Arabidopsis thaliana: one gene and its partner. The protein of the gene in region 1 interacts with the protein of each later gene in a pairwise test. Each region holds a gene or a part of one and is shown on either strand. Other genes may lie near its edges.

What was found.
Region 2: the proteins of IAA9 (region 1) and KIWI interact in binary tests that used the Arabidopsis thaliana proteins (3 or more experiments, as listed by UniProt).

What each region holds. Positions count from the first base shown.
Region 1 is NC_003076.8:26,250,512-26,257,922, forward strand, and holds IAA9 (indole-3-acetic acid inducible 9), read left to right. Parts: upstream 1-2,896; 5' UTR 2,897-3,380; intron 3,381-3,435; exon of another isoform or gene 3,436-3,624; intron 3,625-3,912; 5' UTR 3,913-3,951; coding exon 3,952-4,493; intron 4,494-4,588; coding exon 4,589-4,815; intron 4,816-4,927; coding exon 4,928-5,069; intron 5,070-5,222; coding exon 5,223-5,284; intron 5,285-5,579; coding exon 5,580-5,623; 3' UTR 5,624-6,033; downstream 6,034-7,411. UniProt on the Arabidopsis thaliana protein: Aux/IAA proteins are short-lived transcriptional factors that function as repressors of early auxin response genes at low auxin concentrations.
Region 2 is NC_003076.8:2,874,688-2,879,314, reverse strand, and holds KIWI (ssDNA-binding transcriptional regulator), read left to right. Parts: upstream 1-2,705; 5' UTR 2,706-2,835; intron 2,836-2,937; 5' UTR 2,938-2,946; coding exon 2,947-3,081; intron 3,082-3,193; coding exon of another isoform or gene 3,194-3,233; coding exon 3,234-3,339; coding exon of another isoform or gene 3,340-3,356; exon of another isoform or gene 3,357-3,710; coding exon 3,711-3,829; 3' UTR 3,830-3,834; coding exon of another isoform or gene 3,835-3,894; 3' UTR 3,895-4,127; downstream 4,128-4,627. Other genes in the region: VPS20.2 (vacuolar protein sorting-associated protein 20.2), read right to left, coding at 960-985, 1,063-1,195, 1,354-1,437, 1,594-1,746, 1,900-2,052, 2,417-2,518; AT5G09240 (ssDNA-binding transcriptional regulator), read left to right, coding at 4,535-4,627. UniProt on the Arabidopsis thaliana protein: General coactivator that functions cooperatively with TAFs and mediates functional interactions between upstream activators and the general transcriptional machinery. Binds single-stranded DNA.

The DNA.
Region 1 (7,411 bases):
ACAAAAAATTCTATAAAACGTGTTTTAACCATTATAATTGTAAACCCTAAACCCCACGATCCTACACTTTTTATATCACAACTTGTGTGTTTGCTTAAAACGTTGTTAATAACCATTATAATATATATCTAACATAATAACATTAAACTTTTTAATTAGTCCAAAAAATGAACTTACAAATTATTATCTACTAATAACGATTTCAATGAGGTATGCAGCATGTTGTTGGGTTTGTTTTGAGAGTGACGCAAATCTGTCTTTTCTCCAATCTAATCAAAGATACATAGCGATTCGGTGACATCAATTCTAGAACCAAAAAGATTTGATTAAACAGAGAAATTGACTTAATATGCATTTATAATATAAGCTCTTATGTTGTAGAAAAATCCAAACCTGTTCCACAAGCAAAAACTAAGCTGTATGGGACCATGTTGATATAGACTAAGACCCTAAGCGATATGTACAAATACAGGTGTTATACATAGAAAGAAAAAGAAACCGTTTTTTTCTTTTTCTTATATCTAATTCATATACAGCTAGATATACATGTAATTTAAAATGTTATCTTTATGTAGTAATTTATTGCGAGGGATGAAATATCTGACGGAGGTTTTATGTGAAAACTCGAAGGTGTATTTGATTTTCGGTCAAATATATTTTAATGGCTCTCTCGTATATTGATGATCACGGCTCGGTACATTGTCCTATTACGAACTCGATAAAATTAATTATATTATTTTGTTGTGCAAATCCGATTTAGTAGCTCGTCGTTTGACCCTATATTGAGACATATAAAACATATAACAATTTGCAATAAATAATTAGTTGTTTTTGTGTATTTCTAGTTAAAAAAAAATTGAAAAAATTGTGATACAAAGAATTATAAAAACGTTGACAGCAACATGACTGACTAAACGAAGAAATATCTTACGTACATTACATTTTTTTTGGGGTCAACACGTAGATTATAAATTCAACAAATCCTTAATACGAGAGAGGTAAGTATATTATGGCCCATCAAGAAGGATAGTGGCTTATGGGCCTATGTTATAATATGAAATAAAAGCCCAATTATAAATGAATTTTTATATACTAGAGTGCAAAGTCTGGGCCCAAAGTAAACAGTCTAACGTGTCTTGTCGTTTGATTTCCTCCACTCTAATTATAAATTAATTAATTACGGGGAAAAAGATTAATTAACTTTAGTGAATCCATCATCAATCAAAGACTAATAAAATAAGCGTGAAGGACAAAAGCACTACGGGTCTCATTGTCTTGTCTCAACCCGCATTATTTGTACTCGCAAATGCTGCTAATCTGATCTACTGTTTACTTTTGCATTTTTGTAATAATTTATCTGTATTACTATTATTGTTTTTTACCAATCACTTTTTAATTAGACACATATTTTCATGTACTCATAATTTTAAATATAATGTCTGATGGTAGTTGTAGTAATTTGAAATAATTAATATCCTTTACTTATTATACAGACGATTAAACAAAATATGAGAAAGAGAAAATCAAAACTTTTTACGGGGAAGGTTAAGAAATGCCGTATTATTATTCTGGACGGTGAATATTTTTCTTTTACTTTCCTCTTTGTGCATAAGGTGTTAAAGACTTTTTTTTTTGATTAATCGTCTTTAAATCTTTGGTAAAAGGAAAGAAAAAAGGTTAAAAAGAATAGAGAGGGGTAAAAAAGAGATAACGTGAGTGGTACGGAAGAGTGATGATGAAAAAAAAAGAGTCAGAGAAGGTCATGATGATGATGAACGGACACAGGCCTCTCTTACTCTCTTACCATCAAATCCTACGGTCAGATTGAGATATTTTGTGCTTCCCATGCGTGTTCTTCAATCCCATTTCACCCCTTTTGTTATTATTATGCTCCCCTTTCCCCAATTCCCATTACCTTCCTTTTTTAATTACTTTGAATTTTTTACAGTAATTTTTTTTATGTATATTACACCCGACTATAATTTTTTTCTTTTTTTCTTTTTAACACGAAAAGAATGTAACCGACTATAAAAATTAACATACATAATTTACCTGTTTATTACCAACGAATTTACTTTTTTACTTTTTAACCAATCATCCTTATTACTATGGATTAAACGTTGTGTATGATGATCGTAACAGTGCAATTCAGACATATTTAATACTCCAGAAATATGTATGTTGTTCACATTCAAATTTTGTACTTCTAACAATAACACCACAAATTATACTTTCAAAAAATGAGATTTTTTTTTTAAACTCAATTCGGACAAACTTGTATGTATCTAATTTTTGTCATGACTATAATTTTGTTTCAATCAGTTTACTTATTTAAGTGCAAATTCAACAAAAATAAAAAACAAAAATCTAGCACGTGACGTAACCTTATGAAAAAGATTAATCTATAGTCATTATTAAAGTTACTTATACTATTTACCCATTCATCTATCTAGAAGACTACAATGAATGCCAAACCAAAAAAAAAAAGCAAAATGAAAAATTCAAGTTTGGGGGGACTAACATTTCTCAATGGGCCCCATCCAGTTGGGCCAATCTAAGTAAAAAAAATTGAAAGATAAGGAAACGTAATAATGAAAGTTAAAGAAATTAGGAAGGTGGCGGAATTTAATTAAATTTAATCCGAAAGAAAGAAAGTGATTATAAAAAAAGATTAACAAGTCTTAATTAATTTTAGATTAATAAAGTAGAGATAGAGAGAGAAAGGAAGAAAGTGGAAGAGGTTAGATGTCCCATTCACCACCCGGCAAACCGACTTGGAATGCCGCTTTCTTGTCCCCTCCTCACTCCTCTTTTTCTCTCTTTACCATTTTACCCTTCATTCCTCAATCACATTATCATCACATAGAGGTTACATTAGTCATTAAAAACAAAAGGATAGAATCGGAATTTAATATTTGCAGACAACCATCCCCTTTCGGGTGGAGCCAGAAAAGTGGCATAATTTTGTTTAAAGATCCGACTCCCGACATTTGTACATCAACGGTTCATATCTGCTGATTTAAATCCGACGGTTTAGAATTATCAGCACGATCAAATCTGAGCCGTTGGATTAGAATCCATTCGTAAATAAAAATACGCAACTTTTTCCACTTATTTTCTATTCTACCACTTTGTTTAGTTATTTTAATTTTAATCTCGGCTACGAGTTTCTGGGTAATGATAATTAAGCTTTTTTCTGCTTTAATGGAAGGACCTTGACACTTCTCTCTCTCTTTCTCTTTGCTATTCATCTTCTACAGTTTCTTAAAAATTATACTCTTCTTCTCCAAAATATCTCAGACTCTCTTATTTTTGATCGTCTTCTTCTTCTTCGTTGTGAGCTTCCATTTTTCATCCAGGATTTGTTTTTTCCGTTTGAGGTAATTATGTCTTCTCTGTTCTTCTTATACATAGTTTCAAATCCGGTAATTTTTAGCTTGTTGTTGTTTGTGTGTGTAGTTAGTAGTTATTAGATCTATTAGCTATTGAGTTTCTTTGCTGATTTCCTCACTATTTCTATGGCGAATTTTGGTTTGTTTGAGCTGTTGGCTTAAACCTTGCTAGGTTTAGTGATTTGTAGATAGAATTCTGTGGAAATTCAAATCTGAGATCAGCTCGAAAAATGTAACTCAACGGTGTAGTTTCTTCATCTGACCTTAAGTTGACTTCTATTTATTTTTAGCTTTCCATTTTTTTCTCAGATTGAGCTTTATTTTGCTCTAAATTTTGGTTGTGAGTTTTTCATAGATGCAATCTACTTTTGAAACCCTAATTGATACGGTTTCGAGTTTCTTCGAATTTTGATTGAAATTGAGTTCTTGATTTTTTCTGGTAATTTAGGGTTTTGTTTGAGGATTTGTTTATGGTTATGTGAATTTAATGTGGAGGACTTTGTGCTGTGTAAATCATCAGGTAAAGCAGCTTTGCAGTTAAAGAAACCTTGAGTATCCAATGTCCCCGGAAGAGGAGCTACAGAGCAATGTATCGGTGGCTAGTTCTTCACCTACTAGCAATTGCATCTCCAGGAACACTCTAGGAGGACTTAAAGAGCATAACTACTTGGGTCTCTCTGATTGTTCTTCTGTTGGAAGCTCTACTCTCTCTCCCCTTGCTGAAGATGACAAAGCTACTATCAGCCTCAAGGCTACGGAGCTGACACTTGGTCTTCCTGGATCACAATCTCCTGCGAGAGACACAGAGCTTAACCTTTTGAGCCCAGCAAAGCTAGATGAGAAGCCATTCTTTCCTTTGCTTCCTTCTAAAGATGAGATATGCTCCTCCTCGCAAAAGAACAATGCATCGGGAAACAAAAGAGGCTTTTCTGACACAATGGATCAGTTTGCTGAAGCTAAAAGTTCAGTGTATACTGAGAAAAACTGGATGTTCCCTGAAGCAGCAGCCACCCAGTCTGTAACAAAGAAAGATGTGCCACAAAACATACCCAAAGGACAGTCTAGCACTACAAACAATAGCTCTAGTCCACCTGCAGCCAAGTATGAATAGAAGATAGGAGCATTCGTTCGATTTTGATATGGATTACTTTCAACAGCTAGCTAACTGGTGTTTTTTCGGATTCTGGAATTTTCAGGGCACAAATTGTCGGTTGGCCTCCAGTGAGATCCTACAGGAAGAACACATTGGCCACTACTTGTAAGAACAGTGACGAAGTTGATGGGAGGCCAGGTTCTGGGGCTCTCTTCGTGAAGGTCAGTATGGATGGTGCTCCTTATCTGAGGAAAGTTGACCTGAGGAGCTACACTAACTACGGGGAGCTTTCTTCAGCCTTGGAGAAAATGTTCACCACTTTCACTCTTGGTGAGATGTTTCAGTGATTGCTAGTGATGTGTTTGAAAACCTCTTTCTATTTAAGGATCAATGAATGAGTGCAGTCAAAGTAGTTAACCTGCACTGTTTATTTGATGTTTAGGTCAATGTGGATCTAATGGAGCTGCTGGGAAGGATATGCTTAGTGAGACCAAGCTCAAGGATCTTTTGAATGGAAAAGACTATGTGCTCACTTATGAGGATAAGGATGGTGACTGGATGCTTGTTGGAGATGTTCCGTGGGAGTAAGTTTCCTCTCTTATATTCAAAACTTGTTAGAAGCTTTCTCTACTCTCTGCCAGATATCTTAGAATCAAATCTAACATGCCATAGAAGATTATATCATGGTGATTGGTATAAGCGCTCATGAGTGATTTCTGATCCGATGTATATTACAGGATGTTTATTGATGTCTGCAAGAAGCTGAAGATAATGAAAGGGTGTGATGCTATTGGGTTAGGTAAAGTCTATTCTTCTCTCTGCTCCTAAGCTACAACGTAAACTACTATCTCTACTAAAACCGATTACAAGTAGTGTGTATGATGAGATTAGTGGTTTGTTGGTGTGAGTTACTTGTAGCTGATTTAGAAATTTCAATTCATGTTTGATCACTCGTCTTCTTTTGGGAGTAAATACAACAAATTAACATGTAAATAAAATCGAAATTAAACTGATTTCAATTCATGTTTGATCACTCGTCTTCTCTGATTCAAAATGTCTTAATGATTCAATGTGGTGAACTGGTGATATTGCAGCTGCAGCTCCGAGAGCAATGGAGAAATCGAAGATGAGAGCTTAAAAGATGGAACATGACAAAGCTTTCTAACTATACAAAATATGTGCGATCTTTTGGTGGTGTTTTTAAATTTCAAAACATCAATATCTTTAGTTTCTGAATTTTTAAAATGAAGTAAGTAAGACTACGAATGTAAGGAAATGAAGAAGAATTAAAAATGATCTATTTTTGTTGTTTGTTTGTTGCTTTAGTCAGTAAACTGGTCGTTGTTTTATGTTTTGTGTTTGATTTGGATGTGTGGTTGACTTCTACCTTTGAGATATTATTTGATGTAACGTTTTTGTTATTCTCTTCTTTGCTTCTTCTCGAGAAGAGAAGATAGACAATCCGGTTTTACGATTTGGCTTTCTATCATTGAACATGGAGGTTCTTCTTCTGCATTTGCAAAACAATCTTAAATATTAATCAGTACTTAAATCTTTGAGGTGGATTGTTAAATTCTAACACATTTGAATGCGGAAGTGGTAAACCTACGTTTTTCTCAATGTCTATGACTCTATTCTAAATGGAATATCAAGATTAATCAGAAAGAAAAAAAAATCTTTTTATAACTGTCATAACTAAACTGTGCTACCAAATCATTGCCACCAACGGATCTTTAAACCAACTTGAATAATTCACCTGAAGAACCAAAAGCTACAAGACAAATCAAAGATAAATAAAAGTAATTTCGCCGGGAAAAGGTTTTGATATCATTATTTCACTTTTTAACCTTCCATGAAACTTTGTTTACCTTAGCAAGCATGGGCTGCGTACAAACTCATGATAACTATATAGTACAATCCCCAAACGAAGATATCATAAATTTCAACGAATCAGTTTTAGATTTAGTGAATAACTATAGTTTAATAGTATCGAATAATATCGTTTGAGAGAAAAATAGTCAAAGATACATGAACATAAATTCCCATATACTAATTTCCCATTTCTCATTCAAGGAACGTTTATTATTTTTCTGTTCCTGAAGGTGGAAGCATAGTGCGCCTCTTTGGGTTTGGCAATGGTGGTTTGCTTATTTGTTTTATGAAAATTATTTTTGTGATATCATTTATTGTTCATTTTTAATAATTCCGTTAGCGTTGACAAAACAATATGATTAAACCCCACCTAAAATGAAATGTTATATTCAACTGTCCAATTTTTCAAAGAGGCGTTAATTAATCAATTCCAAGGCATATATTCGATCAAGATAATTAAAGACTCATATAGTACTCTCATAGTTTAAGAGAACCTACGGGTCGAATTTAAATCACTCTTGTTACTTTAAAACTTTAATCCAAATAATGTAGTATATATCTGTGATTCTTGTAGCTAGCTTCACGTGAACTTAATAGTATACACATAAACAACAATCATTGGTCGTGAATCTCATTTAATTCGTTTCGCTTTGATGCACTTATTCGAATGGGACATACTATATACATCCATATAAGTTGATAAACTATATAGTAATATTCAATGTTTTTAAAATTAAATATATGAAATAGACTTAGGGAATGACATGTCGAATTTGTCTCCAAAAGATATGAATTGAATTATGCTTCTCAGTAATGGAACGTGGCAATACCTTTATCACTCATCTATATATGGTTGTTCCCCAAAATTATTTCTTCATCAAACGAGAAAAATAAGATTGTAAATGTAAATGATTTGATCATCTCAATGTTGCATTCAAGAATAGTATCTATAATATTTAGTTATAAGCATTAGGTATTAGGTCAATTATATTCAACTGAGTCTACGAATCGAATTGCATATTGCGTAAAAATTCAAATAAAAGAAGCTAGATAA
Region 2 (4,627 bases), about 23 Mb from region 1:
ATTCCATGAATGTTCATAACCATACTATTGAAATCTAAAATCGTAAGGCACTGCGAAACTGGATCCACATTTGCATAGGATTTTTGAGGAAAATACAACCAAAAGAGGGACGAAATCTAAAAGCTTTGCACAAATCCTCGAAACTAAAATTGGCGGCGAGATCTATGAAATGAACGGGCAATAGAGTTTAAATCAACCTTCTCAGAGGCATTTCCTCAAACACTTTCTGTGCATCTAGGAGATCTATGGCTACAAAACCCAGAAATTACAAAAAGAAATTCCTTGGGATCTTATTTGTTCTAAGAATACAAAAACAAAACAGGTACCTGGAGTCAAACAAAGTCGTCGAAGAACAATGAAGATTTCCAAATGAAGCTCAGAGAGCCATAGTTCTTAAACCCTATAAAGCTTTGCAAAAACCCAGATCGAGCGAGGTATTATTGATAGGTGCATAGTTTTGCTAAATAGTCGTGTTTCCGTATCGGTTTTTTTTCTTTGGTTTGTTGTAGATTAAAAAACCATACCAATTTAATACGGTTTGGTTTAATATCAATTAAGAATTTTTTTTTCTGGTTTTGAAATCTTGACAAACCAATTGGTTTGACATTCCCATTTACAAATATCTTTTAGTGAATTCTTTCTGGAAGAATTTGTAGCTTTGATTTTCACTCAGAAAAGAGGAAAATCCTATACAAAGAAAGAGAAACAATTGTTCCCACTGAGCCTAAATGTTGTCATTCATACTTTCATATGTTCAGGTCAAAGACTCTGAATCGGTTTTAGAAACAACCAAACCATTTTACAAGGAGAGAGACTCCATGAACTTGGTTCTTTACAAGCTGCAGGAGTAAGAAGAGAATACACAAAGATCTTCAAGAGCCCATAACAAAAAGGTTTCCAAAGAATGATTATAATCCGAGGTGGCTATGTAGTAGTCTATCAGATTCTTCACTTCTGAATCAAGCTTCCAAAGGTTCTTCAAGAACTGCAACAACAAAAGCATCTATGAGTTAAAGGTTCTTTGTATGAAGCAATTGTTACTTGAACAAACATCACAAAAACCTTTTCTCTTTGTTGAAGTGGTTTCATTGGAAGCGACTGGTGCTTTTGTTGGCACATCAGGGAGATCCATTTTCTCGGGTTCTTCAGGCATGAGCTCTGTCGTAGGCACTTCAGGCATATCTTCAACAATCAGCTTCAAAACAAACAAACATTATATATCACATTTGACTCCACTCAAGAAGATTGTTTCACAAAGTAAATGGTGGTACTCGAAACATCAATAGGGCAGTACGGTCATAATGCTGGAAACAATTGTATCTGAGAAACAAGAGAATCCATTATGTAGCATACCAGACTTTCTAGGTTGTCGAATTCTGCTAAGATCTCTTCTTCATCTTCCGCTGATAGTTTCTCACCTAATATGGCACTCAGTTCCTAAAATCAAAGTGTTTAACAGTTAGATCAAGCAAGGGAATACTCATAACCATGAAGGAGAAAAACAAGGAGAAGCTCGGCAAATGTGACAAATGATTGTAACTATAAGCGAACCACACAAACAAAAAGGAACAACAAGATTCACTATTAACTCACATCCTGATAAGCCTTGGCCTCGGCAGTGTCATCCATCAGTTTTTGAACATCATCAAGGTTGACCTCGCTCTGAATCGCCTTAATTGCATTGTTACCTTGCTTTAAGCTCTCAAAGACTGCTTTTTGCTTGCTTGTAAGTTCGATATCTGCCAACTGAGTCATAAAGACAGGTTCAAAATATATTCGTTTATGTTTCTTTCAAAACATAAAATCAGCTATAAAAGAAAAGAAAAGTACTGTTTATATAGCACTAAGGTTATGTGATGGAAACAAGGAGATGATAAGAAGAAGGTCAAGCCAATTTACTTGTTGTTCGACATTGATGAGCCACTGATCTACTTGCTTCAACAACTCTTCTTGTGTCCGTTTTTTCTTCAATGCTAACAAAGCCCTGTCCTTTCGCTTCTCACGGATTAAGTCTCTTGCAGCTTGCTTTTCTGCTTCAATTACTTTCTCAAGCTAAAAAGAAAGGTTTAAGAGAAAGAAAGGTCAAAGCTCAGGATCATAGGAAAGAAAAAAAAAACATTTGCATTCCACTTTCTCAGCGATCAAACTCACTATCTACCAATAGTGGCGATGAAATAATTAAACCATCATTAGCTTGACATAAGAATCAACATTTGGATCCAAGACAGATTCTGAAGGCAACTTCTACATTTAACTGCTTCTTAAACCTCGAGAACCCATAGCCGAAATTCAGTAACCTTTACCCTTATTCATAACCATTAGTGAATCGAATCAAACTGCACTTTCTGTCTCAGACCAAATTCGAGCAAGAATAAACCCTAGAAATGCGAAATCACAAGGCGAAGGAATCAAGAACCTGTTGCTGATATTGACCAAGCTTGCGCCTTTGGGTTTTGAGAGAGAGAATCGCTCGATCAACCTCCGTGATCTTCGGTTTCTTCACGAATAAATTCCCCATCGAGTTTTGTCAAGGGTTCGGCGATTTCAAACCAAGTCCAAATCTTTTTGTTTTCACCTTTCCCAAGCAAAAAAGCTCCCGCGTTTTCTCAAATTCGCGTTTATAAAAAAGCGTTCCGAATCAAAACAACTGTCACAGTTCTAATTTTATCACACGCTCTGCAACAGCGCGTGGTCGGTGAACACATTAACATAAATACGCGAGAAGAGACGCGCCGATTCATTTTTCTTCAGAATCTCTCAATTCTCTTTTGTCGATTTCGCAGTAGAAGAGTCCTTTCGCCGTCTCCGAGAAACTCGTTGCAGCGTCACGACCAGGTTTCCTTCTCACTTTTACTAAATTTTGTAATTGCTCGGTTTTTTGTTTAGTGCGAGTTTACTCTGGTCTGAAGAGAACATTTTGGGTCTGCTTATTTACAGTTGGAGAAAATGTCTTCTAGAGGAAAAAGGAAAGACGAAGATGTCAGAGCATCAGATGACGAATCTGAAACCCACGCGCCGGCTAAGAAAGTCGCAAAGCCAGCAGACGATTCCGACCAGTCTGACGATATCGTCGTCTGCAACGTTAGTCTACACTTTCTGTCTATCTTTCAATTTCGTTATCTACTCTATTAGCAGTGAGCTTATGGGTTTCGGTCAAGTTTTAATTTTGTTGATGTGTTTTGCTCAAAATTAGGGTTTTAATCAAATTAGGGTTCATGTTGGTTATACATCAGATATCTAAGAATAGGAGAGTCTCTGTAAGGAATTGGAACGGGAAGATTTGGATTGACATTCGTGAGTTCTATGTCAAGGACGGAAAGACTTTGCCTGGCAAGAAAGGTAACTTTATTTTGTAATTTAAACCAATGCCCCTTGGCTCTCATAATTCATTATTTCTAGTAATGTGTTTCCTCATCTCTTAGTTTTATATTTCGTTACTGTTTTGCTTTGTTAAGTTTCTGCATTTAGTCAGGTTTATAGAATTGCATATCTTAGGGTTTTATAATAGGCAATTCTGCTTATTGAGACTGTTTATGGACTTGTAAGTATGAGCGGAGATGGTGCAGAGTGTTTGCTTTTGTACAACAACGTTTTGTTTATTTTGGTGCTATTGCTCCTTCATGTCTTTCTCTAGAGACAGCTATATTAGTTTATCTCTACATAACTAATCATGTTGACAAGATTATCTCTATGTTTGTTATACGTTGCAGGTATCTCTCTAAGCGTGGATCAGGTACTCACATCTCTTTCTATCTCTCTCCACTGTTTTATGTCTCCTAGAAGTGTTTCTGTTTTCTTGTTATTTGCTTATTACACAGCTTTTCCTTAATGCAGTGGAACACTCTTCGGAACCACGCAGAGGATATCGAGAAGGCCCTCTCTGACCTTTCTTAGGTTTTAAAACTTGTATCATTGGTTGTACGTCTATTAGAATATGGCTCAGTTGTTTTGGTTGTTTTTGTAGAACAACACCATGTTCTGCTAGTGTAAGCTGCTTCAAATTAGTTGGTGTATGGAATCTTTCACTTTTGGTTCAGACAAGCTTTGGTTGGTATTAAGAATATAATGATTGCTCTTTTATTTACTGCTGTAGTGCTGTTTTATTTGCAAATTAAGATACGTTGCAGGAATACAAGTATTCATTTGATAAGTTATAAACAAGATAGGTCTAAATGTTACATAGCTCTTGCCAAACTTCACTTGATCCGGACAAGGCCATAAGCAGACATTGTCTTTGAAGATGAACCCATCACAATAAATGTATCACTCTGTGTTGCTACTTTCATTGCTATAGTTGCTCTTTTCCAAAGAATATTTACCTTCCCAAAAAACTCCCCCGTTTTAAGTTTGGCCGCGCGTGTTCTCAAACTGTGCGCTTGTAAAATGGCGTTCCGAATCTGATATCACAGTTGTAATTCGGTGAACGCAGTAGATATATTACGCGAGAAAAGGAGAGAGGTGCTTTTTATTTAACTTGAGAATCTCAAGAGTCAATTTTTGCAGTAGAAGAGTGTTTTTTTTAGAGGTTAAGAAAATGTCTGAGAACGGAAAAAGGAAAGACGAGGATGTCAGAGCATCAGACGACCGCGACGAATCTGAGACCCACGCGCCGCCTAAGAAAGTGGCA